4 linked regions of the Alligator mississippiensis genome follow. The protein of the gene in region 1 interacts with the protein of each later gene in a pairwise test. Links are inferred from orthologs where the notes say so. Each region holds a gene or a part of one and is shown on either strand. Other genes may lie near its edges.

Region 1 (6,839 bases):
CATGCAAAGATGGTCACCCCACTTTTTAAAAAACTGGGAAGTATGTCAAATATGCAGTCAGGCCTCCTGGACCTAATCAGCATTATATGACGAACTGACATTGTTGAAATTGCCCTGGATTTATCAGCATGAAACTGAACTTGCCATGGTATAAAGCTAGAGATAAAATATTGCAGCCAGTAAAAAGTAATCCAAGTTGAAAAAACTCTCTTGCAGGTAGTTAAGATACAAGCTGCCTGTGAGTAGACATTTTTTAGTTAGCCCTCCAAAAAGAAAATTGATGTGGAAAAATCCTGTACTGTTATAAAACTACACAAACTCAGTGTCATTTAAAATAAAAGGGAAAGGGAATATCTTGGCCTCCTTGAAATCAATGGAAGTTTGGGGCAAAATTCAAAAAACAGGGACAAGATTTCACTCAAAGTATGTGTTCATATTCCTTTCCCTCTCTGAGTTTTCTTCCTTAGAAACAGCCTTTTAGACTTTCTGTGTAAAACAGCCATTTTAATGGATCTACTTCTCTAAGCTTATTGGCAATTTCTATCAAAGGTTTTTCTTGTTCTGATGTTTTGATATTTTGAAGGGAAAAATAAAGTTATTTATCTATTTAATCGTATTTTTCAAATGCTGGTTGTTAATAAAGAACTGTTGTTAGTTTTAAAATTGAGTGGTTTTGGTCTTTTTCAAATTTGACTTTTAAATTCAATGCAGCAAAGAGTACTGCTTTAAAAAATATATTCCTGCATTACACTGGCATTTTTTCCAAGGTAAAATAAAATGTAAACTAATTTTTGGCCTAACATTTACAGAAAGCATCTGTAAAATGAAACACCTAATTCCTTCCCACAGATGCCTTCTCAGTTTTTAAAGGAGAATAAAAAAATCTCAACATAGTGTCCATATACAAAGCTGAGGAATAGGTTGGTTTAATTTAATAGTAGGCTACTGGAAGAAACAAGAAGGAAATGGACAATGGCTCCAAGTAAGACACCTAGTAATGACTTCAGGTCCATAAAGATATGAAGCAGTGCTTTTAGGTATAAAGATGCTACTTCTAGACACCAGCCAAATTAAAAATATATTTTGCAAATTCTGGGAGCCAAAAGGACTGAAGGAATATAAGGATTTGAAACAGAGAGTCTCTAGCTAGAAGGGGAACAATAACTATTGAAAAACAGACTGATGCATACTGACAGCCTCTGGGAGAGCTGAAGACATTAACCTTTCCTAGGAATCCACCAGGGATGGTAATTCTTTACATAAAACAGACATGTTTGTGCACTGCTGCTTGTTTTCAAACTCCTTTTACTCTTGTATTATGCAATATTCCTCCTGTTAGGATTAAACAAGATTTGGCTTAAAAAGGTCATCTGGTCACCGATTCACAAATAACTGCTCAACTTGCACCCTTTTAGACCTCCTGAGTAAGCATGGTGGGCGTTGAATTAAAACCTGGTGTAAAAGTAGAAGAACTGCATAGTTCCACCCTATGGGAGATAAAGGCACAAGACCCAACACCTGCATGTGTGTGCGCTCAGCAAGAAGAGACAGAGGTGCTGCTGGCACTATGCCATGACAGCTGGCTCTAAAACTTTCACGCTTAGGGGCAATATCCTCAGTGGGTGACAGTTTGCACCTGCTGAGGATTTGTCTCCAGGTGTCTAAAGTTAGGTACCTGAATCCACATTTAGAAACTGAACTCAATCCAAATCTGTTGGAGCCAGCTGAAGCATTCCAGCAGACTTCACTAGGCTTTCAGACTCTCAGGGCCTGTCTGTACTGCCTTAGGACCACAACAGGGAGCATCGCAGTTACCCATACCACTGTGCTCTGCGCATGTTACGTGCCAAAACTGATGTCATAGTGCTGCATGAAGGTGGCTACATTACATCTGATTTGTGATGCAGCATATGGAGAAGAGATATGGCTCTCTCTTCCACGTTCCCCAAAAAGGGTGGAAAACAGCATTCCGACCTATGTTTGGAAAAGTAGAAAATGTTCATTTCAGTCCCATAATATTAGTATAATAAATAACCTTAGACACAGTGTGAAAGTATTGGCTTTAATCCTCATCTATGCAAGAAATTTCATGATTCTTTCCCACTTTGGGGGAGTTTTGAGGTATTTGCTTAGAATCCTTCTAACATAGACACCATATCAAGTGAGCACAAATTCCATCCAAACTATCTTATTTTCCCAAAGAGGTTTTCTTTTATTAGGCTTCATTTGAAAATCTTCACTCTGAGATCAGGTTAAAAATAATTCATTTAACTGATAGTAGTTGCCTGCAAGTTCTGGCTAATGCTATTTCACATACTGGTTATGAAGAATTCCTGCTTTCACACTGCATAACATATCAGTACTTTTTCTTCTTTTGCACAGCTGCCATAATCCATAATAAATAGTTGTTTAAACATGACATCAGTAAATGTCATCTGTACTTTCTTTCTCCCAAGGCCATCAGGAAATGGTGTCAAGGAGAAATAGCTGAATAGCAATATGTTTCATCTTTCTTTTGTTTCTGTATGCACATTCTGTTTCCAAATATTCATCAGTAAAGGAGAAAAAGCTAATAGAGGAAAAAAAAAAACTAATCAAAAGCTTTCTGTCTGAAGTCACTCGCTTTCCTGTTCATACCCAGAGTCCAGGGAAGTGATTATAGTTATACATGGTTGTATTCTCTGAGAATGTGAAAACATGACAGTATATTATTAGTGCAGAGGCATAAGGAACAGCTGTTACTTAGTGTTTGGCTTCCAGCATTAGGCTGGAACTATAAAGTGAAATGCTACATCTATAGGAAGAGATGAACAAATCACTAAGAATGCCATCTTCTGTAGATCTGTATGTAGAGCATTTTGGAAGTCTGCCTCTCAAAATGAGGCAGAAAGGGGAGTAAAAACAATGATTTGTGCTTACCTTGCTGCAGCTTGGTGGTGCCTCTGCTCTCTGGTCTGAGAATGAGAGGACAGGACAAGTGCAGAAGCTTATTGCTTTATTAGATTACTCAAACTATGTATTTAGCAATTAGACAGGCATTGGTTTACAGATGAGCTATAAATACAATATCTCCAAAGGACCAGCCATCCAAAGGAGATAAGAACCATAGCACCTCTGTTCTGCTAGCCTTTTAAGGAATCATACCTAAAGTAGCACAAGATCTGTAATGGAAATGAGCTGCACTGCTCTTAGCAACCACAGACCTTTGTTCTGTTTAATCTGAGGATGCCTGAGCTTTATATATACTTGCCCACCCTGTGCAGTACTATGGCATCATCAAGGCATTACCTTCACTACTGCTCCTGTTCTATTATAACTAACTGAACAATAACAGATCTTCATTTTAAGTTCATTTTCATGTATCGAGTGAGAACTTCAATTTTACTAAAAACACCTAAGAAGTTTCTGTGGATGTGATGTTAGACTGAGGTTTAAGATGATGCAGCACTACAGAAGTATATGTATTGATGGGTTTCCAGGGACTTAGCAGGATGTAATGGGGCACCAAATGCACTTAGGCTCCTAATAGGAGGAATAAGATCTGGTGCTAAGTGGCTTTGTCCAAGGTCACACAAGTTTGTGGCATTTGAACTGAACCTGGATCTCCCAAATTCCAGGCTACAGGCTTAACTTCTAGACCATTCTTCCGCTTTGATGACACTGTTACATCAGCACATAGGAAGGAACATACATTTAAGGAACTTTAGCATGAAGTCAGAGACGTTACAAATGGAAGCCTCTGACTGCATGCCATATTGATCCTAATTGTACATAAGCACAGCCCTGAAGTCATCCAGAGACTGGCTGACATCAGTGGAAGATCTGTCTGGACTACTCTTGGCCATCATCAGTTATAGCATATCCTATTTGTCATTATAGGGTTGTTCATTGCAGTTTAGCTACATTACTGTTGGGATACTGCAGTTGCTCCAGATTGGGAGTTGGCTTCCCACAGTAAACCTGAAATTTGGAACCTCACCCTAACTTTCCTAAAGAGACATGAACCCTCTTCAGATCTCACATGCATCTCATTATCCCAGGGCTCTCCTTTTTTGCTAAGTTTAGAAATATCAAAACGAGTATGCAAAGTGTGGGTGCTTAAAGAAATACCCACTTGCTGACTTCTTGGATGTGGTGCTAGCCATCTCACTCTCCAATGAAACTGATTTTCAATCTACATAGTTTTACAGAGGAGCAATGCCCCTTAAAATTCTTTTGAGGGAACAGGGGGTATTATAATGAAATGTAATTTAGGAAAGGTTTGTGATGGGAAATCAAGCACACACACTAAGGTAGTCAGGGAAGGGATAAAGTATGAGGCTAAAGGGGAGGAAGACAAAGTTCCCTTTCTATCATTTCCAGCCCATGGAGGAAATGGGATCAGGAAACTCCCAGAAATAGTACTCTGACTCTCTTCCTATGCTGCTCAGAAGAGATTTTATAAATAAGAGCTGTCCTTTCTTTTTTTCTTAGACTCCAGCAAGCTGTTCTTTGTTTGCTCAGTTTTATTGTTGGCTGTTTTTCCAGGCACTGTGATGGATACCCCGTATTCTTGCACACCAGATTTCAAGTATATCTTAAAGTGGCAGGAGGCAATATTTATTTCTTTTTTGGTTTTCCATGTTCTTGTTACCTGCAGTTATTCCTAATGTTAACGCAGCAAAATGAACAAATTGAGTGAAATTGGCCACTGGAAACTGAGTTCAGTGACTGTCTCAGTAGAATTTCCCAAAATAAATGTTTTCAAAGCTATTCTCTCCTTTATTTTCCAAACTCCAAAGAACATCACTCCCAAACGGACATCTTTTTTGTTTCTCTCTCACAGGTCTTACTCAATGTTGGCATGCATACAGACTTTAAGTATGCATAATTTCTTTTTCTGAACCATATGCACTTTTGTGTTTTTAGCTTCACAGAAAAATAAATTTTGCTCTGGACTTTTCCCTGGGATATCTTCCCAGATTGGATGATGGTAAAGACTCAAATGACAAATAATATAGATAGTGGAAATGGCCAGCAGCAAGTATTTCAGGGTAACTCAAAAAATGGGCCAGGTGTTCTGAAATCTTGACTGTAAGGTCACTAATGAATAATGTTGTCTCAATTTGTGCTTGGGGCAGAGCCATTACAGAAGGTGTGGTTGTGGCCCCCAAACCAATTAGGACTTGACATTTTGAGAATTCATAGTAGCACAGAACATCCCTAGATGGTTCACAGGCAGAACAAATTGTCAGTTGAATGAAGTTTGATAAAACAGCTGATGACATAGCTCTGGCTGATGGGAGTTGTCTGTATGAATCCCCAATCTCCAGACATCATGGCAGTGTGCCTGATCTGATAGATTAGATTAGGGAGCTTGGAGAAATATCTCATAATTTTTTTATGAAAATATTCTTTCTTACAGAGTTAGCATGTCACATGTGTCTGTAGCTATTGTGTAAACTGTCTTTTCTCATTTCTCAGAACAAAATCCAATTAAATAAGATAAGTAGTTTAAAACTAAATGTCACGGGTTGGGGTCCCCAGGGTTGGCTGTGATGCCCCTGGCAGCTCCGCAACTGTGCCAGCTCTGCCCTAAGGGTGCCCAAGTCTTGCCTCCCCTGCCATGTCTTGATGGTAAAATAATGAATCAGGAGGCTGCCCACAGGCTTGTGGTTGGCCCTGGTCCACTGAACTCCACAAGAACTCACTGGTCCTTGGGCCCTTTGCAGGACCTCACTCTAGTACTGTGCTGCACAGGGCACCTCAAGCCTTATGTGCTAAGTGTGTGACTCTAATCCTTCCCTATACCATGCTCCATGTCTGTTTTGCTTAGCACTATTTTGCTATAATGCTATAATGCATTAATGCTATAATGTTCATTTTAAAATTGATACCTGATTCCACTTAGTGTTCAGTGAGTTTATTATAATGCTCATGGTTGCCATCTTGGGTCACTAAAAACACATGCAGTCATCATCTGGGGCCGTTAAAAACTTTTGGTTTCACTTAATGCTCATTTTGCTTAATGCTTGGTTTCTCAGGAACCAATTAACAGCACCAAGCAGGGTGTAACAGGGAACCCTAGTCCGGTTACTAAGAGGCAGGGCTGCCTTTTTAAGACCTGAGTCTACAGGAACACCAAGCACCAGGAGGGTAGGGGTTAATAGTCCAAAAACCCAGGCCAGTCAGCTCACAGGAAGGGGATAGGCCTCTGGGCACATATAAACCCCAGGGCCAAGGCTGGCAGGAGGAGGTCTCTGGCAAGTGGCCAGGGGAAGAGAGCTCCTGCACGGCAGAACTACCCAGGAACTCTGTGGCTGCTGGCCAGACTGTTGCTGTGGCTAATGAGGCTCCAGGCATCTACAAGGTACCCAGAGCTGGAGGGTGCTAAACACACGAGGAGCAGTTTGGGGTTTTTAAGGAGCCAGAGTGTGGCTTGTATGACTTGTATTATGTTATAGCTCAGGGGCTCATATTTATGTTATTGTTTTATCCAGTGGCTGAGGCTATTTGGGAAAGAGAAGGCCTCATTGGGGCACACTACTGTGCAAAGCCCCTGTGCTGGGGGGGTGGGGGGAGGAGGGGTGCAGTGACAGGGGATGATCAGACCCCCAGTACCAGGGGGTGCAGTGACAGGTGGCAGACCCCAGTGCCAAGAGGCACAACGACAGGGAGTGAGCCGACCCAACTCCCTAGGGCATAGGTCAACATTTATAAACCATCTGCAAGATGTGGGCCACCATGTAGGGAAGGTTTGGAGCAGCAACCCCTAGCATTGGTGTAGGAAATGGGCAGCCTCCCACCTGAGTAACATCATACTTATTGTTCCATCAAGGCATGGCTGGTGAGATAGGTGG
Region 2 (7,085 bases), on another chromosome or scaffold:
AGGCATATAATGTAGAATGGCACTTAGAAAAGAGTGGGCCAGACAACCCACATATAACTGGAATGTGTAAATGGATCAGATGACTGCAGGGAATAAGAGGAAGAAAAAAGATTAATTTGATCGTCCCTTGAAAGGAGAAAAAAGCAAAAACAACCCCCACCTCCACCACCAAATGGGTATCTGATAAGCCTGTCTGCCTTCTGAAAAGGAGACATATTGACATTGACAGGCTGCTGGACCTACTGCTATGATGTTGTGTGAAGAGAAGCAGAATAGGATTATTTAAATAGCAGGACAAGAGCCTTGTATGAAATGGGATTAAAATGTTGTATACTTCTTAACATGTAGGTGCTTCTGAATCCCAACTCCAACCTTTTTCAGGTTTATCCATTACTACAGTGAATAAACCTTGATGAACAAGTTCCATCATCTTTACCTTTTAGTGGAACGTACAAGATAATTCAGCATAAAAATCTGTCGATTACCTGCTGTGACTTGAGTCTTTTAGCTCAAAATATATTTGTTGCAGTGCTTCAGCATGCAGCTAAGTTACTGAAGTTTCACCCTCCAAGGAGCTGCACTGCAAGCTAAAGACAGTCTACAGAAAACATGGTAGTCTTTTTGCTTAATAACCCTAAACTATTTCTACATATTTCATAACTTCTATATTGTAAGTTGGAGCAAAAACACATTTGAAAGCACTTTTAGAAATAAAAAATGTGCACTTGTCCAACACCAAACTATGAAAGCGGGTCTTGAAACAACCAATAGTGAACATATATTCTTTCAGAAAACAAAACCTGTTCATTATAGGGTGTACACAGACATTCAGGAACATTAGGGAGAGGTTAGATTGAGTTAGAAATGGCCACCTGATCTAAGGTAATTTGGCATGGTGGTGGGGGGTGGGGACATTAGTGGGAGGCTGGGCTAGGGAGGATCGGGGGGCAAGTAGGCTCCGGAAAGGGGCTGGGGGAGAAACAAACATCGGTGCCAGGGAGGGGCTAAGGAAAGTGCAGCCCCAGGGCTAGGGTCAGTGGGTGAGCTTTTCCAGCCCTGGGGTTGTGCAGATCAGGGCAGTTAGATAGATCTAAAAATGGGCAACCCAATTTAAGTTAGACTATCTCAAAAGCAGTGTTAACTCAGATCAGGCCATCCACTTTTAGATCCATCTAACTGTCCTGACAAGCTCACATTTAGATCGTCCTAACTAGGGATCTAAGTGTAAGGTCAGCACCTGGGCGAACTAAGTTATATTGGGTGGTCATTTTTAATGCGATTTAACCTCCCCCCAACCTCCCCAAATGTCCATATGCACCCGTAATTTGTAGCCAATAGCAGCGTGCTTTTACCGTCTCAAAATGGACTTTCTGGTCCTCCTTTGTTGTTATAATATACTATGGTTACAAAGTTTTCTATACAATTACTATATGTGAGCCCAAGTCACCAAGTTTGGATCTGAATTTTACTGGATCAAGAGTTCTTGAACTCAGGGTTTGGTCCAGACAGACCTCTGACTTTTAATATGACTTGAATTTCAGCAAATTGTTCATGATTAATATCGAAGAAACAGGTTGTTGGTGATTTTTCCTTTTCTTATTAAATTTTTTTGAGTGAATTCCTTGTTGCTAAACATAAACACACACATACACATACATGGGATGTGCTGCTCACTGCTATTTTTTTCTTTTTGCTATCAAGATGATCCAAAAGAATGTCAAACAATATGAATTATCACACTGGAGTTTCTATGTTTTTTCAGAATATGCAACTTATTTGAAAATCACTATTATATTATTTTTATATCAAAATATTTTTCAGTTAGAATTTATACACAAATATATTATAATATTTATTACATACATGGGAGCACAAAAATTTAATTGAAGTCTCAGTGAGAAACACCATACAACATGCACAGAGGATGTTCACAAAAGTTACCATGATTGGCGTTCTAAAAAAAACTAGAATATGCAGATTCAGATTAAATTAGGTATTTATCATGCTTTTTATTCTGAATGGAATAGCCCACATAAAAATTCATCAGGAAACAGTTTTCATTAAGTTTTGGGCAAACCTAGAGTACAGCGGTAATTGTACAAATGCACCACAGCTGACCTTACATGAAAAAGCATGCTCATAATTTCTTGGCTTCATTCCAAAATAAACTCAACTGGTTTCACACAAAGTAAACTATTCTTGTGGCAATCTACCGTGAATCTCTGATTTAAAAAATATAAACTGAAAAAAAATGTAATCTGGCTTGCTTTTACAAAATGAGGGGTTACTTTTTGCCTGCAGCTGGAATATAGAGCATTTAAAGGGTAACTGCATTTATTTATCTTTCCCTAGGGAAGCAGCACCCTCCATATCACATTGCTTAGTGTTATAAAATGTGACACCAATATACCATGCTTTCCTCTTTTGCTATTTAACCTCTCTAAAATAACATTAAACTTCTAAAGACAAAGAATTCAACAACTCTTCTAAACTCACACGCACAAGAAATATACTTATATTCCATGCATTCAGTATCTAGTTATAGAAAGCAGCAAAGAGGGACATGTTCAAATGTAACTCCCGCTTTGACTGATTCTGTTACTTACCCTTCATCTGTCTGCTGTCTTTTGAATAAGCCAGGCACAGCTCAAATTTCTGGCTTTCATTTTCCTCCATTGTCCCTGCCTACTGCACAAGCTTTTTTCTCAAACTTTAAAACTGCAGCTTGAAAAACTACCAGAAACAGCCTCCAGGAAAAAAAGGAAACCACCCTCCTCTACAGCACAAAGTTCCTTTAAAAAATGAACTGCATTCCAGAAGTCCAAGTATTCGCTATGGATCGGTAATGGTCCTCAGTGGAATGGTGGGCAGTACTTCCAGAGGCTGCTGCTGCAGCTTACTGCTGCTGCTGAAATAGTCCTGAGCACTTCTCAGTGTGGGCCCCAACAGGTGATGGTCTTTTCTGCAGGCAAGATCCTAGCCTGCTTGTTTTCCACAGCCCCCAACTACACATATCCTGCAGCCAAGTAGCATTATGAAAGAGAACATTTCAAACATGATTACAGGCCTGAATCTCTGCTGGAATCCGAATCCTTCGCTTTTTAAATCTCTGTCATGGGACAAAGCCTTTCCACAGAATATTTTTTTTAAACACATAACCACTGAGCCCACAACATTCCTGATAAATGCTTCTCTGTCTTTTTTAACATGCAGTTTAAAAGTAATTCATTATGTAAACACTCCGAGGTTTTGTTTTCTGGTGAATACTTTCAAGCTGTTCACAGAGTAAGTAGAATGAATTTAAAACATATAAAGACAGCCCTTTTAGCAAAGCCAACAGAAATGAGCATAAACTACAGTAACCTATATGGAAGATGGAACGTTGGCTAGCACAGACTTTTGAAGTGCAAATAACCAAAGATATAACAATAAATCAAAAATTTTCTTCTAATTAGATTGGAAGCAGGAAGCCTGCAGGAGAAGCAGTAGACCCACTAGGTTGCAAGATAATACAGCAAGTGACGGAGGAGGATCAGTTTTCACCACATGATCCAACAGAGATTACCAAACTGGAATCTTGTCTATTAAGGTGGTGAAGCTGAGGCATAAGCACAGATAAATGAGTAAAAAGAAGATGTGCTGGAACAAACTGAAAAATTAAGGAACATCACATTACCAAGAGCAGAAGGCATATCCATCCAAGAGTTCTGAACAGGCTTAAAAATAAAGCATACCAAAGGTTCTAAAAATATATGCAGTTTCCCATTAAAATCAGCTATTACATTGGAGCTATATCTGAAAGGATAGGTAATATAGTAGCTATGATTTAAAAGAAAATAAAAGTCACTTGGGTAAGCCTGGGAATTCCAACCTTACTTCAGGATATGTAAGTACTTCACACCCCCACAATGAAGAAAGGTTGTAAGGGAACTGCTTTTGGAGGTTCCTTCTTGTGGGAGTATCTGGATGAAATGGTCAACCTTTTTATTTAGACGTTTGTGCAAAGAATTTTTGTAATTTTTCTTAAATTTAGTAAAGAAACTCAAAGAACATACTGTATTTTCCTGAATCCAAGATGACTTTGGATTTAAGATGACCACCTCTCCAACAATTAGATTTTATAAATGAAAAATTATAAATTTGTTAAAATTCTCCATGTAGAATCGAATTAGTGGAAGATTGTTTTAAATTTGTCCCATCCACTGCTGTGGTGGAGAAAGCAGAAACAAGGGAAGAAGGCCCCCTGTGCCTGCCACCCCTGCTGCCTGCATGTCCCACCATGTGTCCCTTGTCACATGCCTCTCCATGTCTGTGCCTGCCTCCTGCCTCCTACCCCTTGCCCTCATGCCTCTGTATGACTCCCATTCCCTGCTTCCCCACCCCTTGATCCCCACCTGTGGCCTTCCCCCTCACCCTTTTCTCCCTCCACACTGGTGCCTGTCCCTCCATGCCCTTCGTTTGTACCCCTGCTTCCCCTTACAGCCTGTCCCTTCATCTCCCATGCCTGTTACTGACCCCTCAGCTCCCTGTCTCCCTAGCACCCGCCCTCCCTGCAACCTGCCTCCTTCACCCTTTGCCCTCTGTGCCTGTGTAGGCCCCCTTACCTCCTCACCCTCTACCTCTGCTGCAGCCTGCCCTGCCACCCACTGCCTCCCCATGCCTGTGCCTGATCCCTTCTGCCTGTCTGTGCCTTCCCCCAACAACTCTCTGCCTCCTCCCTTACCTTCTTCTGCAGCTCTGGTCCTCTGGGGCACTCAGCAGCAGTGGCACCCCCAGCCCAGCCTGGCCAGGGAGAAGTGGTTGCAGGTCCCAGCCAACCCGAGTCGGGGCTGGAGGGACTGGAGCAAAAGGTAAGGAGAGGCAGGGGAGCAGGAGGTGGGGGGGAACAAGTTGCAGGGAAAAGTAGAGAATAGAGGGGCAGGTCTAGGAATAGGAGGAAGGGGCATGAGGCAGGCTGCAGGTTCCTCCCTTCCTCACCCACTGCAGTCCTGCCAGCTGTAAGTCTGCCTTCCCCCTCCCCTGCCCCCCCCCCCGAGCTATCCTGGCCTGGGGCAGACAGCAGCTCATTTCTGGCTTCAGCCCCAAGCCTGGGTCCTAAGCCAGAGCTGAGCTACTACCTGCCTGGGGCAGGTACTTGAATCCAAGATGAGTCCTGTTCCCCTGCCCCCTGATGGTGACTGGGGAAAAAACCCTCATCTTGGATTTGAGTAAATTTTCCTCATCTAAAATAGAGAAACTTCAAATCCTGTAATCACCATTAACAATATTAAACTACTAAATAATTTCAAGAACACTTCTTAGAAACTGCATAAGTTTCCAGCAATTCAAAACACCAAACACAATACCAATATGAAAGAGAAAAGCACCCTAAATATTAGCATGCTATTTAAGATCTGCAATATAACACGCTAACTGTTCTGAATAAAAATGATTCTCTAGCAATCCAGCAATTAAAAAAAAACATACTGCGAGATGTACAGTTTTTCTACTGTAATATTTTATTAACCTGAAAGTACATTCCACACACACTGATTTTTGCATTAGAGGCCGAAAAATGATGGGTGGGCATCCAATTCAATTACAGTTGAGCTCTGTGACACTGGAGACCATGCCCTTAATGACCAACTTCTGGAAGATCTTGTAGGTGTTATGAACAGTCAGATGGAATTGGAACACAATAAAACAGAACTCTTGTAAGCATCCCAAGCGCTAAGGCTACGTACTGACAGTCAGAAAAACCCAAGGCAGAATCAATCCAACCTTTGTGGGTTTCTTTAAACTGAAAATATTGGATCATGAGCAAACATAACATACATTCACCCTGGAGGGGGAGGCATTATTGCACCCTCCCAGTCTGGCAGCTGAGCAGGGTCATCCCTGATTGGCTGTGAGGCACATGCCCCCAGCCCCTACTGTGACTGCAAACCCTCCCCTGCCCAGAGACCTGGGTTTCCAGAGCTGGTAGTCATGGTAGCCTCTCCACCCCAGCCATGGCCCTCCTAGCTGGCTTCCCCCCACCGCAGGGCTCCCCTGTGGTGGGGGCTTTTCCCCCTGTAGCTTGACTGGGAGATTGTCCCATCCCTGCCCCTGTGCTGGTCCCAGCTTCTCAGCCAAGGGGGACAAGGGTGGAGGAACAGAGCCCCCCTTCCCTAGCCATACCCCCCCCAGCTGAGATCGGCACAGTGCAGGGGGGACCCCACAGCCTGGCCTTCCTTTCTGCAGCCCAGCTGAGTAATCACCCCAGCACCACTCCCATGCTGGACCCACCCTCTCAGCCAAATGGGATGGGGGGGACACACAGAGCACCCCTGCCCTAGCCATGGCTCCCCACCTGGGGTCTGCACAGTGTGGGTGGCCCCCCACAACAGTGGCTTTTCTCCCCACAGCCCGACTTTCTTCTCTTGCAGCCTAGCTGGGCAATTGAGGCTGGGTGATTGCACAACTGGGCTGTAGGAAGGAAAGCTAAGCTGCAGGGGGAAAGCCCCTGTTGCTGCCTTCCCTGCCCCACTATGTTGTTTTAGACTCCTGATCTAATGCCAAAGAACCAATGTTGAAAGTTTGGGGTCTGAATCCCCTGAAAATAGACCACAGAATGATTGGGGGTTGGGTATAGAAAACTACTACTCTGAAACCCAGAATTAATATAGCAATGTATGACTGAAAGGGACTCCTGGATCATCAAGTCCAGTCATCTTTTACCACAGACAACCTACATAATCCTTGCCTAAACTGATCAACTACATCTTAAAACTATTGAGGTTTTTTACCTGTATTGCTTTTCTGGAAGGTTGTTGCAGAACCTCAGTCTTCTAATTTCATAGACATTAGGGCTGGAAGGGACCTCGGAAGATCATCGAGTCCAGCCCCCCGCCCAAAGGGCAGGAAGTCAGCTGGGGTCATAGGATCCCAGCAAGATAAGCATCCAGTTTCATCTTGAAGGTGTTCAATGAAGGCGCTTGAACAACCTCCAGTGGCAGGCTGTTCCAGACCTTGGGGGCTCGGACAGTAAAGAAATTCTTCCTTATGTCCAGCCTGAAACGATCTTGTAGTAGTTTGTGACCATTCGACCTCGTCATCCCTTGGGG
Region 3 (7,607 bases), on another chromosome or scaffold:
ATGACATCCATCTCAATTCCTGCATCTAAGCATTTTGTGACCTGGCCATAAAAAGAAACAAGGTTAGTTAGGCAGGTTCTACCTGCTATGAATCCATGCTGGTTGCCCTTTAGCATTGCTTTCCCCACTGGACTCCCACAAATGTGATCCTTAATAATTTTTTCAAAGGTTTTCCTGAGGATAGAGGTAAGACTAACTGGGCTATAGTTACTCAGCTCTTCCTTCCTCCCCTTCTTGAAAATAGGGACCACATTGGCCATTTTCCAGTCCTCTGAGACCTGACCTGAGCACCCAGAGTGTTCAAATAGCTATGCCAGTGGCCTGCTATGACATTGGCCAATTCCTTCAGCACCCTTGGATGAAGATCACCCGGGCCTGCTGACTTAAACACATCCAGCACCTCCAAGTGTCTTTTCACTAGGTCAGTGCTAACAGCTGGTGGGCTGGTTTCCCCTTTATGCCTGTCTATGATCCAACTGGGAGATTTGTCCTGATCCGAGTTCAGGAATACAGAGGCAAAAAACTCATTGAAGCGCTCACCTTTGTCCCCCGTGTCTGTCACTAATTGCTTTAGTTTGTCTTGTAGAGGCCTATGCTACCCTGCACCTTCTTTTTGCTCCCTATATACCTGAAGGAATTTTTGTTGTCTTTAATTTTTGTTGCCAGGCTAAGTTCCATTTCTGCTTTGGCCTTTCTAACTGCCTCCCTGCAAGTGTGGGGCAAGTAGGTATACTCCACCTTGGTAGCTCCCCCGCTTCCACAGCCTATATGCCTCTTTTTTTGTCCCTAGGCTTTTCTGGACCTCCCTGTTCAGCCAAGAGGGTTTCTTGGTCCCTTTGCCCCCTTTCGTGGCTCCTTTTGCACCCATAGGATTGCTTTCTTTAGGAATGACCATTCTTCCTGGACTCTTATCTCACCAGTTCTCCTGTTCTTCAGTGCCTTGCTACTAGTCTCCTGAGCACACTGAAGTTAGTCTTTCTGAAGTCTAACACTTCTGCTCTACTGTTTATCTTTCCCACCCTATGCCGGATAGTGAATTCAGCCAAGTGACGGTCACTATCCCCTATGTTACCTTGTGTCAGTAGATCTCCCACCAAATCATCCCCTGTAGCCAGGACCAAGTCCAGTAAGGCGTTTCCCCTACTGGTACTGTATACCTCCTATGTTAGGTGAAGGTCCTGTATGCAGGTTAAGAACCTATGTGAATGGCTGGATCTAGCTGACTGCTCCTCCCAGCAGATGTCTGGGTAGTTTAGGTCACCCATGACAACTACGTCCCTAGACTGTACTGCCTCTGAGAGCTGTCTGGAGAATTCCAGGTCCAGCTCCATCTCCTTCTAGTACAGGTTGCAATTGTTTGAGGATTTTTGATATAGTTTCCAGGGAGGGATGATATGTCATAGCCAGTGGTGTGCGATTCATGCAGGTTTTTTCTTCTGTACTGCAGCAATTCTTCACATGGTATCCAGTTGGCTCTTCCAATTGTGCAGTCTATCTCTCTGGAGGAGTGTCCTTGTTGAGTGAAAGCCTTTTTGAGTTTGGTGAGGTGGTAATCCCAGATGTTCTTCTCAGTGCAAATTTGGTGGTATTGGAGGGCTTGTCTGTATATTACAGCTGTCTTGGTGTGCTTAGGGTGATAGCTGTTTCTGTGCAGATATGTATGTTGGTCCATGGGTTTCTTGGATACAGTGTTTTGTATTTTACCATTCTGGATAGTGACCATTGTGTCTAAAAATTGAATGTTGGTGTTGGAGTATTCCAGAGATAGTCTGATGGAGGAGCGCTGCATATTGAATTTCTGATGGAAATCAATCAGACATGGCAGGTTTTCAATCCAAATGATAAAGATGTCATCAATTATATCTTAAGTATAGCAAGAGTTTGATGGTGCAGTCCTTGAGGAACTTTTCTTCCAGGTTGCTCATGAAAAGGTTGGCATACTGTGGGGCCATTTTGATGCCAATAGCTGTGCCCATGGTCTGGAGGAAGTGTTGATTATCGAAAGTGAAGTTGTTGTGTGTGAGGATGAAGTGTATAAGTTCGGTAATATCTTTGGGTCTGTACTCTGAGTTGCAATCTTGTTCTTGTAGATATGTAAGGCAGGACTGAATGCTATCTTGGTGTGGATGCTGGTATATAAGCTGGTAACATCCATGGTGGCTAGGAGGGTGTTGCTAAGAAGGTGGTCAATGCTTTTAAGTTTTCATAGAAAGTCTGTTGTGTCTTGGACAAAACTGGCTCTTCGGGTGACAAGATGTTTTAGGATGGATTGGATGAGACCTGATATTTCCTCAGTGAGGGTTCCATGGTTAGATATGAGAAGCCTGCCTGGGTTCCCTCATTTGTGGATTATAGGGAGCATGTAAAAAGTCCCTGGGTTGGGTAGTGGGGATATCAAGTTCTGTAGTTTTTCTTGTAGTTCTGATGGAAATGATTTTATGGCAGTTTTGAGTTCCAAGGTGAAAAGGGGAGTAGGATCATCCGCTAGTTTTTTGTAGTAGGTGGTGTCAGAGTTGTCTGTTGGCTTCTTTTATGTAGTCTTCATGGTTAAGGACAATCTGCTGGTTTTATTACTATTTGGTGGTTAGTTTTTAGGGATTCTATGGCCCTTCTCCCTGAGAGGGAAAGGTTGTTATGGTGGTTTTTGTTGTTGATTATTTCATTGTTTATTCTTTCTCTGAAGCAGTTAATATAGTGGTCAAGGTTTGGATTTTGTCCACTGTGAGGTGTCAATTCATATTCATATGGATGTATGCACACATGATGGTGGTGATCACTGATGTGCATGTGATGCATTACACATTACTATGCATCTTTAAGAATCATGCCTTCTGCCCACTAATCCATTTTCCCAGAACTATTTCTAATTCAAATGTTTGCTCTGCTTCACAGACACCTTTTTGTAATTGCCAGCTATATGTTGGGGGTTTTTTTTCTTGCAAGCAGGGAATCATGAAGCTATAGCCATTTAAAAATAAATTTAAAAAGATATCAACTTTCCATTGGGACATAGAGTATTTGACATTAGCTTTGGCAGACTGCATAATGTTATACCATATGAACAAAACAATATTTTGTCTGGAAAAGTCAGTTTAGATAATGTTGAAAACTGTCTAAATATGTTTTTTCTTCCTGAATCCAGTACAATTGGACTCATGGTACTCAAGGAACACAAGCTGTAGTACCATTAACATCTTTCTTCTGTTCTTTATGGTTATAAGCATATTTGTTGCTCCTACTCCTCCTTCCTGCTTCTGTTGTTGTTGTTCTCGGGGTTTTTTTACTTTATTCTTGTGGCAGGGATTTTGACTTCACCAGACAGCTGTTAACATGCTTGGAGACTACTGGAAAGAGATAATAATTAAAAAAAATAATTCTTTTTACATATACGCATTCATGCAAAGATGCATTGTAAAAATTTAATCTTTATATTGCAAGGTTGTAATGTTAACAATCACTTGCATTACAGTACAAACCTGAACAAAGAGGAAGATACTCAAATTCCAAGTCTTTTCTGGTAGGAGAGATTATATATATATTTTTTCTCATGTGTGTGAGAAATTTCTAGGTAAAGATTAACGGATGGTCCTGAATAACGATTTATCTCGTACATAATACAGCAATAAAAGTGGTATGTCATGTATACGGACACATTTTATATAAAAATATAAGGAAGTCCTTTCAGATCTCGCAGAGTTTCACTAGCTCCGATTCTCGAGGGCTGAGGATGTTTGACAGCCTCAGTGAACTTCTGTAAAAGACGGCGTGTTGTGATATAAACTGCTAGTCCTGGCACATGCTATGCCAGGGTGATGCTGGGATGGCATGTCATAATTACTCACAGCAACTTCACACTATCGCAAAGAAACACGTTGTTCCCCTGGGAGGACCTTCATAAAACATGATTTATGTCACGGCAATGGCAGCACCGGGACGATAGTGGTGGAGTGACATGGGCTTGTGGCCTGGTGTGATACATAGCACGGGCCTGTTGATTTTACGAACCAATGTGTTACACTGACGTGCCTCGTCAAGACTGGACCGGACTCTGCCATGCCTAACACCGCCGGTGCGAATACACATCAGTAGGAGAGTTAGAGTAAGCCCGTGATCCTCACCCAGGATGTGCGAGGTCCTTGCAAAGGCGCCGCGAGGGGCTTGGGAGGGCGCAACCGGGGGCGCACGTTTGGCTCTGCTCCACCTGAGGGTTCACACCAAACACCGGGCCCCGCTGCCGCCGACACGGCTCCTTCTCAGCGACCTGCTGCCTTAGAAACTGTCCAGCCCGCAGGTGCCAACCACCCCGCTTCCTAGTCACAGGTGCCAACCACCCCGCTGCCTGGTCAGGCCAGCCCTCCTTCTGGTCCCACTTGTACCTCATCCCCATGGCGGCCTCTTGGCCGTGTTTTCGCTTCGCTTGTCAAGTGAGCCCCCACCCCGGCCCAGGCCCGCGGCCGCCGCCACCGCCTCGCTTTTTCGTAAGTGCTGAAGCCCCCGCCCGCCCCTCGCCCGCACAGCGCCGCCCGGCGGGGGCGGGGCGGGGCGGGGCCGGGCCGGGCCGGGCCGGGCTGGGCGGAGCCAGCCGCCGCCGAGGAGGCGGAGGCGGAGCGGGAGCGGGTGAGAGGTCGGCCTGCGCCGGTCGCCCGTAGAGACGGTCCCGGGCTGCGGCGGCGGCGGTGGTGAGTGGGGCGGGAGGGCAGGGGAGAGCCGGGCCTGTGCCTGCCCCGCCGCGTTGCGGAGGGCCCTGCGGGCTGCCCGGGGCTGAGGGCGGCTGCGTCCGCACCTGCCCCACGTCGTCCCCGGCCGCGGCCTCGGCCTCCGGGCCGGGCAGTGCGCGCCCTCGGCTGCCGGCCCGGCCCCCTCCCCGGGCGGCCCAGCCCAGGCCTGCCACCCCCGGGCGCCGAAACCCCGGGTGATTTGCAGCTGGTTTTCTCGCCTTCCCGCCGGCTGCGAGCCCGTCCCCGGGCACTAGCAGCTCTGCGAGTCGGGTGTGTAGTCCCGGCCCTGGGAGACACCCCCCCCCCCCATATTTCCCGAGTCCAGCAGAGATTTGCGCACGAATTCGGGAGCCCGAAACTGCGGCGCCCCCATCCATCCTGGTTGTCACCCGTCACCCCGCACCGCCGGGCCCTTCAGTCTCCGCGTGTCTGGTTTTTCCTCTGAGGCGAAGGAGTTGGCTTTCTTCTGGGGAAGGTTGTGTTGGTTCAGGCCAGCCGAAGGCAGGACGATAAACGGCAAATCGTGTCACATTAGCGCATCGGTGTGGAGAGATTATTGGTGATATTATCGTATTACTTTGCAGAAAGCGCTCTCGTCGCACCCTGGCCACAAGCTGCGACTTGTCCTGCGCACAAGTTGGTTTTAGGGGTGTAGGTTGTAGCCGTGGTGGTCCAAGGGCTTAAGCAGACGAGGTTCGCTGGGTAAATCTGGTATCTTTTATTAGACCGACTCAAATCATTGGAAACATTCTTCCAACAATTTGAGTCGATCTAATAAAAGATGATACCATGTTGGTTTTAGCAAGTTTTAACGTGCGGTGTTATATTCCAAGGCTAAAAATGTTGACTCCTGAAATAAGTTTTTTAACCTGCATTGGGATCGTGTGGTAGGTACCTGTCAGTATTGCAGCTTAAATTTGGTGTGATTTGTCACGTTATTTGCCAGTATCACAGTTAACTTAGAGCCACTGGTGTAAGTAAGAAATTGTAGAATAAGAAGCTGCTATCTTGAATTTAACTTAATTATGAATCAGTTTGGAAATTAAACTTCCTGAATAAATGAATAACCTGCACTAAATAGTAGCATTTCTTGCTAGTCCAATACCAGCTAAATGAGATTAAAGGACTGGTATGCGGTTAAAGGCTTTTGAAGCCTATATTTCTTGCCCACATTGCATATATTACAGTAATTTAGAATCTCTTTAATCAATGCTAAATGACAAATATGTTTCATGAAGTGCTTTCCTTTAGAAATTAAGTATTGCAATAACTGTTAATTGTGTAAGCATACAACTAAGAAGTATTACAGTAACTGATTCCTGTAAACTTTTACTTTCATAATTGTACATTATTAGGTAATGAAACACTCAATACTTTCTCAGGACTCCTAACTTCTACTCGATTTAGGAGAAGATGCTGTCATAGGGTCAGAGGAAAGTAAAGCTGGAAGGGACCTCACAAGGTCATCTAGTCCAGTGGTTGTCAGCCTTTTTTGTACTGGGACCCATTCTTAAACATTGATGGCCAGTCCTGACCCAGTGCCCCTCACTCCTGACCTGCTGCTGAGTGTGTGAGGTGTGTGGGGTGGGGACGTGGGGAGTCCCAAGCAACCCCTCGCAGGCTGGATCTCTGCCAGCCTGCAAGGGAAAAGCTACGGGTTCCCTTTTTAAAGTGTGTCTGTGACCCTTTCATGTATTCTTGTGACCCACTCTTGGGTCATGACCCACAAATTGAGAAATGCTGATCTAGTCCAGCCCTTGCTGAAGGCAGGTTCATCCCTGAATAAACCATCCCAGCCAAGTGTCTCTCCAACAAGTTGGAGATTCCCCAGTTGTTCTAGGCAGCCTGTTCTAGTGTTTGACCACCCTCTCAGTCAAAACCTCCCTCTTAATCTCCAACCTAAATTTCCTCTGCTGAAGCTTGAGTCCATTGCTCATATTCCTGGACTATAGCCACAGAGAAAAGTCCATCTTCACCTTCTCTCTAATTGCCCTTCAGGTATTTGAAGACTGTTATCGTCCCCCCTCAGTCTTTTCTTTTCCACGCTGAATAACCCTAGCTTTTCCAGCCTTTCCTCATAAGTTTTGCTTCTGACACCCCTAATATCTTTTGCTCTGTGCTGGACTCTTCAAGAAGGATGTAGACAGACTAGAAAATGTGGGGCCCAAAACTTGACAGTTCTCCAGGTGTGGCTTTACCCATGCTGAGTAGAGGGGGAGAATCACTTCCCTTGATTTGAACGTGACACTTTTGTTAATGCAACTCAGTATACTGTTTGTTTTGGTTTTTTTGCCAACAAGAGCACGCTGTTGGTTCGTATTCAGCTTATGGTCGGGGAAGGGGGGATAGGGGGAGGGCGCTCTGCGTCCAGTCCATGTGTGAAATGTGGCCTGCAAAACCATGGTCTCCAGCTCGTAGGGCTCCCCATGGGTCTGAAAATTTGGCAGCAGGGGAGCAGTGGCAGTTAACAAATTCCCAAGCCCTTCGTGGTGGGGCTGGGGCTGGGGCACACTCCCTCCCCTCAGGCTGGATCGGGCAGCAGTGCCCCTGATGGCTGGGTCGAGGCCAGGCCACAGCCCCTATCCCCCATGTTTGGGTTGGGGCTAAGCCACTTCCCTTCCCCACAGCTGGATTGGTGCCTGACCATGCCCTCTCCTCTTGTGGGGCTGGGTCAAGTCCCCTTCCATGCAGACAGGTCAGGGTTGGGCTGCTCCTCCCCTTATGTGGCTAGATAGGACTTTACCTCATCTGCCCCAGCCCACTGGCCACAAAATTTGAGTACTGCTGGTCTATTGTAACTCCCAGTTCCTTATTTGCAGTACTGCAGCCTAGTGTCTCTGATGTATAATTGGGAGGGATGTACACAAGCTTTCAGCTATCAAGTACCTT
Region 4 (6,933 bases), on another chromosome or scaffold:
TCCGATGATGCGTGGTAAATAACACAGCCATTCAGTATCATTAGCTAAGGAAAATCTTGTCCCTTTTTATTCAGAAATTCAAAAAATTTCTTTCCTCAAAAGAAAAAAAAAAGCATTTCAAGGTGGTGTCTATGCCTAGCCATACAATTTCTGTGAAACACCATAGCACTCTGGGGAAAGCTGAGGGATCTTCTCCTGGGGGTCAGGTGGGGCAGTGGGGTGAGTGTGAGAGGCAGGAAGAGGTTTCTTGTATCTGGACATGAATGGCAATTGGGAGGTGTGCTTGGGATTGGCAGGAGGATTTGCTTGCATGGAGGTTTAGGCAGGGAGGTGGTGGTTGGGGAAGGTGATGAGGTTTTGTGGCATTATTTGGGAAATCCTGTCTGTGGGTTGACTGTTTATTGTAAGATGTTCTGAGCCTTTGGATAGGGTGGGATATACATCTAAAAATAGATAAGTAATTAAAAATAAACTTGTGACATATCCAGAGTCAGCTTCAGCATCTTCTAAAGAGGCTTTGTCAGAACTGATTAGTTGAGTGCCTCGGTACAGTGGAACTTCCTAGCACAAGGCACGGTGAGACAGGGGAATTCTCAGCATGGTGGAGAGCCCCGGTGTGGAAAAGTTCCCGCCGCTCATATGCAAATGCGCATACTCTAATTGGCCAGTTTCAAATTATTCCTATGTGGCGGCTGGCAATTGGCTCGCTAGCCGTATAAAGGGTTGGAGTCGTTTCTGCCCGGGTTGGAGAACTCCGTGCTCGTCTCGGAGCGGAACCTGGTGGTCTGATCACCCGCCAATGACTCCCCGTCGATGACCCCCCCCCCCCCGACACACGCCCGTGTCCTGCATGCTCGAGTTCAGACCCGGTTTAAAGATATCTCATCTTATAAGAGCTCCTCAGTTTGATTGTAACAGAAGTTGGAGTTTAAAGTTAACCTTCTTCCTACGCTGTACATCATGACAGTGTAAGTAAAGCCATCTTTGTTTGAACCAGTACGCGTTTGTGCCTAATTCTACTCCAGCGGTTGCAAGTACCCATCTACGTGCTGGGTTTGAGGCTACAACCCAGCCGGCCCCTTTCCCAGATCCCAAGCTCGGTCACCCACATGGCGTCACGAACAGGATCAGGATTAACAGGATCAGGATCGGAATCGGGATTTGGGGAAGACCCGATGGAGTTAGAGTTAGTTAGAAGCTGTCCCTGGCACAGTGGGAGACACCACGTGTCGAATGCTGTGGAGCTAGGCGCCCACATCGCCTATCACCAGGCGGGCGGAATAGGTGAAAGGTTTGTCAGCGGCTATCTTTCGCTGAAAGGGGAAGAAGAAGACTCGTCTCACTGAGCACGGACAAGATCACGCGGCGTCCGCTTGTGGATCATCATTCATGACGGTGCATCTGCGGGTGTGCGAGAATCGTCCAGAGCTGAATCGTGTCCAAGCACTTGTTTCGTGTGCTTGGGAGAGAGTGGGAAGCCGCAAAGGGGATTTGATTAGCTGTCCCATTATGCGTGCGACTCCATATAAATAGTGTAATATAAGTTAATTAATTGTTCAAAGAATGCTTTCTTTGCAGTTTTTTTTGTTCGAGGTTCAAGATACATGTCAGAGGCGGACCCAGAGAGAGGAAGAGAAGACGCAGAGGTCTGACATGCGACTTTGCCATGACACCTACTGAACTCCTCGTGATTGAACTTTTTGTAACCAATGTACTTACGTGTGTTTGTGTTTGTATTGGTTACTATTTGATTCGATCCGTTGAGGACGAACTTTTTTCGTTGTATGTTTTTGTATATAGCCGGTTACCCCTCGAGAGGAGTGACGAGTTAGACGGCGTGCATGTGCTTCAAATTCCAGCTGTACCGTCGGCAAGGGGGCATGTCAGAACTGATCAGTTGAGTGCCTTGGTACAGTGGAACTTTCTAGCACAAGGCACGGCGAGACAGGGGAATTCTCGGCACGGTGGAGAGCCCTGGCGTGGAAAAGTTCCCGCCACTCATATGCAAATGTGCATACTCTAATTGGCCGGTTTCAAATTATTCCTACGTGGCGGCTGGCAATTGGCTCGCTAGTCGTATAAAGGGTTGGAGTCATTTCCGCCCAGGTTGGAGAACTCCGTGCTCGTCTCAGAGTGGAACCTGGCGGTCTGATCACCCACCGACGACTCCCCATTGACGACCTCCCCCGACATACCCCCGTGTCCTGCATGCTCGAGTTCAGACCCAGGTTAAAGATATCTCGTCTTATAAGAGCTCCTTGGTTTGATTGTAACAGAAGTTGGAGTTTGAAGTTAACCTTCTTCCTATGCTGTACATCGTGACAGTGTAAGTAAAAGCCATCTTTGTTTGAACCAGTATGCGTTTGTGCCTAATTCTACTCCAGCGGTAGCAAGTGCCGGGTTTGTGGCTACAACCCAGCCGGCCCCTTTCCTGGATCCCAAGCTCGGTCACCCACAGCTTTAAAATGCTGGTGAATGAGGCCTCTAGATGGGATGAAGTTCACACATATATTACAGCAATGTTCATGAAATGGTCCACCCTGAGAACCTGAGCAAAAATAGCTTCTTGATAGGTAGGCATTGTGGTGATACCAAAAATTGTGGCTACATTGTGTTATTCAATAACTTTCTGCTTTAGTCCACAATCCTTTGCCTCAACATGGATAGGGCACCATCTGTAGTGACACCAGTGAGAGATACCCACTTTATATTATTTACATAAATGAAGAGAACACTGCATTAAACCCGTTTCCTCTTCTGCTTCAGTCTTTCAAGCCAAAGGACGTTTTTGTGTATTTGAAAGTCTTCTCAACTCCACTAATAGAAAATAAGGATCTGAGAAGTACCTGTAACATTGGTACTCTTACCTGAAGTGACTGAATATGCCACAAAATTGTCAGCAACATCTTGAAGCTGTAGTTTAAGATCATCACCAATGTCTTCAACTCTGCATGACACCATCATTTTAGAGAAGCTGACCTGACTACTAACAGACTCTTTTTCTGGGCAAAATATATCCATATTTTCTGCATAGTCTTTGAAGAACTCACTGTCAGTAAGGAGGTTTATCCCTCTTTGTTATGTACAATGTAGCTGGATAATGAAGAAACGTCACTGCCTTGAACAACCTTTTTAAAAACTGACTGTTGTGCAATAAGGCCTTTCTGCAACAACTCCAGATTTTTCTTTTGAACATCACCATAAAACTAATTGTAAGAACTATGATTTATATCATGATGCTGGTTTATGTTCCTTCATGATTTTTTTCTTCCAAATTAAGCACAACACTAAAGTTGGGTCAGAATGTGCCCAGGGACCGGTACTAGTATGTTGCTTTTCTCCGAGTGCATCTACATGTGTACTTTACTGAGGAGATGACCAATTAGCTCTGCAATAAAGCATCACTGTCTACATGTGCCAGTATTAAGGTACAGTAAATTAATTAATTAACTTGGCTGTAAGATAGTACTATCCTATAGCAGAGCTCTTTGCTGCACAGAAATGCACATGTGGATAGTGACTGGGACTGCAGCAGTTTGAGCCAAGACAGAGCAGCCCTGGGCTAGCAGCAGGCTCTGGGGATCATCTGTACTGGTCCACAGTTTTGGCACTCTTGTGCCCCTCCACTGCCTGATGCCACCACCTGGAGTCTGAGGCTGACCACCCAAGCTGGCTGCTCCAACCTGGCTTAAACTCCTGTGGTCCTGGGCGCAGGTGAAGACTGAGACCAGAAGCAGATGATTCTGGCATGAACTGTGCCATACTTTATTGAACCACAATAATAGCTCATGTAGATGCACCCTATGGGCACATCTCCATGAGCAGGAACATGCATTTCCCTGGGGATGTATGCAGCGCGTGCAGTGTGTGCCACCGTGCAGCACCACATGCCACACATGTGCACTCATCTGGACGCACCCTATGTGTACACATACACATTGTTACAAGGGTGCTCTCTATATACATATACATGAGCAGTTTGTTAACAAACTACAAGCAAATGGTGCTCAAGAATATGCATTTTTCCTGGACTTTAGCCCAATAAAACTTCTTGTTTTGCACTGCAGGGCTAAGGACAGAAGTTACACTAAACCAGTTTAAGTGATCAGAAACTGGTTTAAGCCTGTCAGAACAGAAGCTCAGTGCACGTAGACCAGTATCAAAATGACTGAAACTGGTTTAAGATAAACCTGGTTGAATGTAGTATTGGACTTAACTGATTTGGGTCAAACTGGTTTATGAAACTTCTGTCCCAGACCTCTTGCTGGTTCAAGTTAAATCAGAGGCCACCCAGCATGCTTTTTAGTCCTGGGCTGGTCTGTGCCATCTGCTCCAGAGAGCAGGGCTGGCCCTACCCCTCTGCTCCCTAGCTGGAGCAGTGAGGGCTGGCTGACAAGCGGGGGGGGAGGTGGAACTGTCCCCCTCAGACAAACCCCTGCTAGGGTCTGGGGCCAGGGAGGGAGGTTAAAAACACCCCTTCCCCCACTTAAAATGTACTGCTGGCTGCAACTGTGGACTACAAATCCCAGAGGCACCTGGAGCAGGAAGAGGAAGAAATGAGCAACCCTGCAGAGTCCTGCTGCTGTAATTCTGGACTGCAAATCCCAGAGACCTCAGGGGCAGCAGGAAAAAGAAGTGAATATACAGCCAGAGAGCTATGCTCCAATGCCCCTGGTTTCTGGCCTGAACCACTGTAGGCATGTGGCTGTGTTTTCTGAATCAAAGGTAAATGTCTGTTTCAATTTAATCTGTGCAGTTTAAACTAATTTGCAAAGACTGAATCAATTCAGCCTTAGGCTTTTTGACTATCTGTACCTAGTCCAGATGGTTTCCTCTATGCAGCTCCATGTCAGCTTGTCAAACACACTATCAGTGTAGCTGTAGTTCCTGACCCCTGCTCCAATAAATTGTGAGGCACTGCATCCCAGTCTACAGCCAAATGACATATTTATTGTTTTACTTGCTTTTGATATCAAAGCTTTATTTACAAACCATGCTAGTATCCAGCTCCATGAAAACCATCTATTCGGTTATGCCTTTTCAAAGCAGCGTAATGCATAGCATTATTTGTATTTGTGTTTATATGCACATGTGTGTATGTATACACATACAAAGATTTTTAAGTTGATGCTGGTCATAGAATTAGGTCATGATTAGCCAGAATTATAAGCAATAAATCTCTCAGTGTGGATCCCTAGGGCACACTATGTAGGAAATTAAAATTTTTTATATCTAGTGTTGATCTAAACAAACTTCCTTTTTAAATTAAACAAAACACATCTAAAGTCAGGTTCACTCCATTTTTCAGTGATAGTAAATCTGATGGTTTCCATAAGACATGTATGTACATTATTCCATAAAATAATGTACTTATTTCAGAGCTGCTGACCAAAGTTTGACTAATGCTATCTGTAATTTTAAAGGCACTTTTTAAAAATTACTCTTTTCTATCTGAAAAAAAGTTTCTATCCACTATATTTACAAGTAACCCCCAAATTCACTATTACTCAAAAGAGATTAGAGAGAAAATATTTTCAGTTTTCTTAATGTATTTATACAGCACTTGGTATATACTTCTGGTTCTCTGTTTCCACTGTATAATCAGTGGTTTCCGTTCTTTGTGTGGGCCTGTCACACAGCTGGAAAGGGCAGAAAACCCTTGGACAGCAGGGTAAATTAGCCACCTGGGAGTTTCCTGCAAAATATTGCTGCTTGTATCCACCCCACCCAACACCTCTCTGCATGTTCATTCCTTGGGAAGGGAATTCACACCAGCATCAGCATGAGGCTACGCAATTACCTAACATGCATTGGCCAATCATAAGCCATGCCCCCTGGCAAATCTCTATGTACTTCAGTTTGAAAACTACCACTCTATACTATGCTGCAGTGCAGACATGCCCAGAAAAAAAATGAAAATGTAAAACCCCCAAACCTCCAAGGGATGTTGGGGAAAAAAAATAGAACCAGAAGGTAGATTTAACCCTGCTTTTGAAATAGATACGTTTCCAAGCTGTCATCATCATCATCATGTTCTTGTATCTATTGCCATTATGATGGCATACAGAAATTTCAGTCAAGGATGAGGACTATTTTATGTTAGGTGCTATGCAAACAAGACACAAAGAAGTAGGACAACCACTGCCCCAGAGAGCTTTACAGTTGGTGACCCATAAAATGTAAATGGCTTCATCTGTGTGAATAACCACATTCTAAAGCAGATAAATCTTTGTTATGATGGACTTGAATGTCATAACATTTCTCCATCCAACTCCAGAAGTAATAAAATTGGGTTGATAATTGTTTTTAATTAAGCAGCTCAATTATAGCATTAAGCAAGGGCACCCAGCAGAAAACAAGTAGTCTCTGGGAAGTGAATAAGGCAAAACATATTTTTGCACCTTGATACAGAGTTCAGTGTGCACTCTGCTGTGTCAGCTCAGCTTCAGAGGTCATGTAGGAGAGAAGCAAGTTATCTTTTGTCTCATATAAGCTTTGGGTAAAAACCCTTACTCAGTTTAAATCCTGAAAAATTAGGCCTTACATGTTGACTTCAACAGGAGCTTGAATTAAAAAAAAAAAATTATATACATTTATTAAGGATGTTTTGCCGAGTTAGGATTTCAGGAATTAGCCCATAGGAGTGAGAGAGAAAAAAAAATAACAAAATGCAGTTTTATGTCTGGTGCATCATTCCTGCCAATGTGTGATTGTTCCCCCACAGTAAGTTTTCCAAAGCACTGTCCAGTCCAATTTTAAAATTACTCAATTGATGGGGCTTCCATACTTCAACGTTAGCCAATTTAGAATAAGTAAGTGTCGGATTACCCAAATATACTGAGGGAGCCACTGATGTATGTACAAGGTCACATGCACATGTTCTAAATTATTTTCCAAACTGCAGCTCAGAGGAAAAGGCAGACTCCAGGGGGT

Evidence for each region.
Region 2: the proteins of FHL2 (region 1) and KIAA1217 interact in binary tests that used the Homo sapiens proteins (3 or more experiments, as listed by UniProt). The two-hybrid records come from large-scale screens. The link is inferred for Alligator mississippiensis from reciprocal best matches to the Homo sapiens genes FHL2 and KIAA1217.
Region 3: the proteins of FHL2 (region 1) and GNG12 interact in binary tests that used the Homo sapiens proteins (3 or more experiments, as listed by UniProt). The link is inferred for Alligator mississippiensis from reciprocal best matches to the Homo sapiens genes FHL2 and GNG12.
Region 4: the proteins of FHL2 (region 1) and SAXO1 interact in binary tests that used the Homo sapiens proteins (3 or more experiments, as listed by UniProt). The two-hybrid records come from large-scale screens. The link is inferred for Alligator mississippiensis from reciprocal best matches to the Homo sapiens genes FHL2 and SAXO1.

The regions. Positions count from the first base shown.
Region 1 is NC_081824.1:347,635,441-347,642,279, forward strand, and holds the start of FHL2 (four and a half LIM domains protein 2), read right to left. Parts: upstream 3,018-6,839; 5' UTR 2,920-3,017; intron 1-2,919. UniProt on the Homo sapiens protein: May function as a molecular transmitter linking various signaling pathways to transcriptional regulation. Negatively regulates the transcriptional repressor E4F1 and may function in cell growth.
Region 2 is NC_081828.1:187,252,970-187,260,054, reverse strand, and holds the start of KIAA1217 (sickle tail protein homolog), read right to left. Parts: upstream 3,015-7,085; 5' UTR 2,677-3,014; coding exon 2,607-2,676; intron 1-2,606. UniProt on the Homo sapiens protein: Required for normal development of intervertebral disks.
Region 3 is NC_081828.1:18,411,129-18,418,735, reverse strand, and holds the start of GNG12 (guanine nucleotide-binding protein G(I)/G(S)/G(O) subunit gamma-12), read left to right. Parts: upstream 1-4,583; 5' UTR 4,584-4,676; exon of another isoform or gene 4,677-4,679; intron 4,680-7,607. UniProt on the Homo sapiens protein: Guanine nucleotide-binding proteins (G proteins) are involved as a modulator or transducer in various transmembrane signaling systems.
Region 4 is NC_081826.1:178,421,204-178,428,136, reverse strand, and holds the start of SAXO1 (stabilizer of axonemal microtubules 1), read right to left. Parts: upstream 3,022-6,933; coding exon 2,868-3,021; intron 1-2,867. UniProt on the Homo sapiens protein: May play a role in the regulation of cilium length. Stabilizes microtubules at low temperature.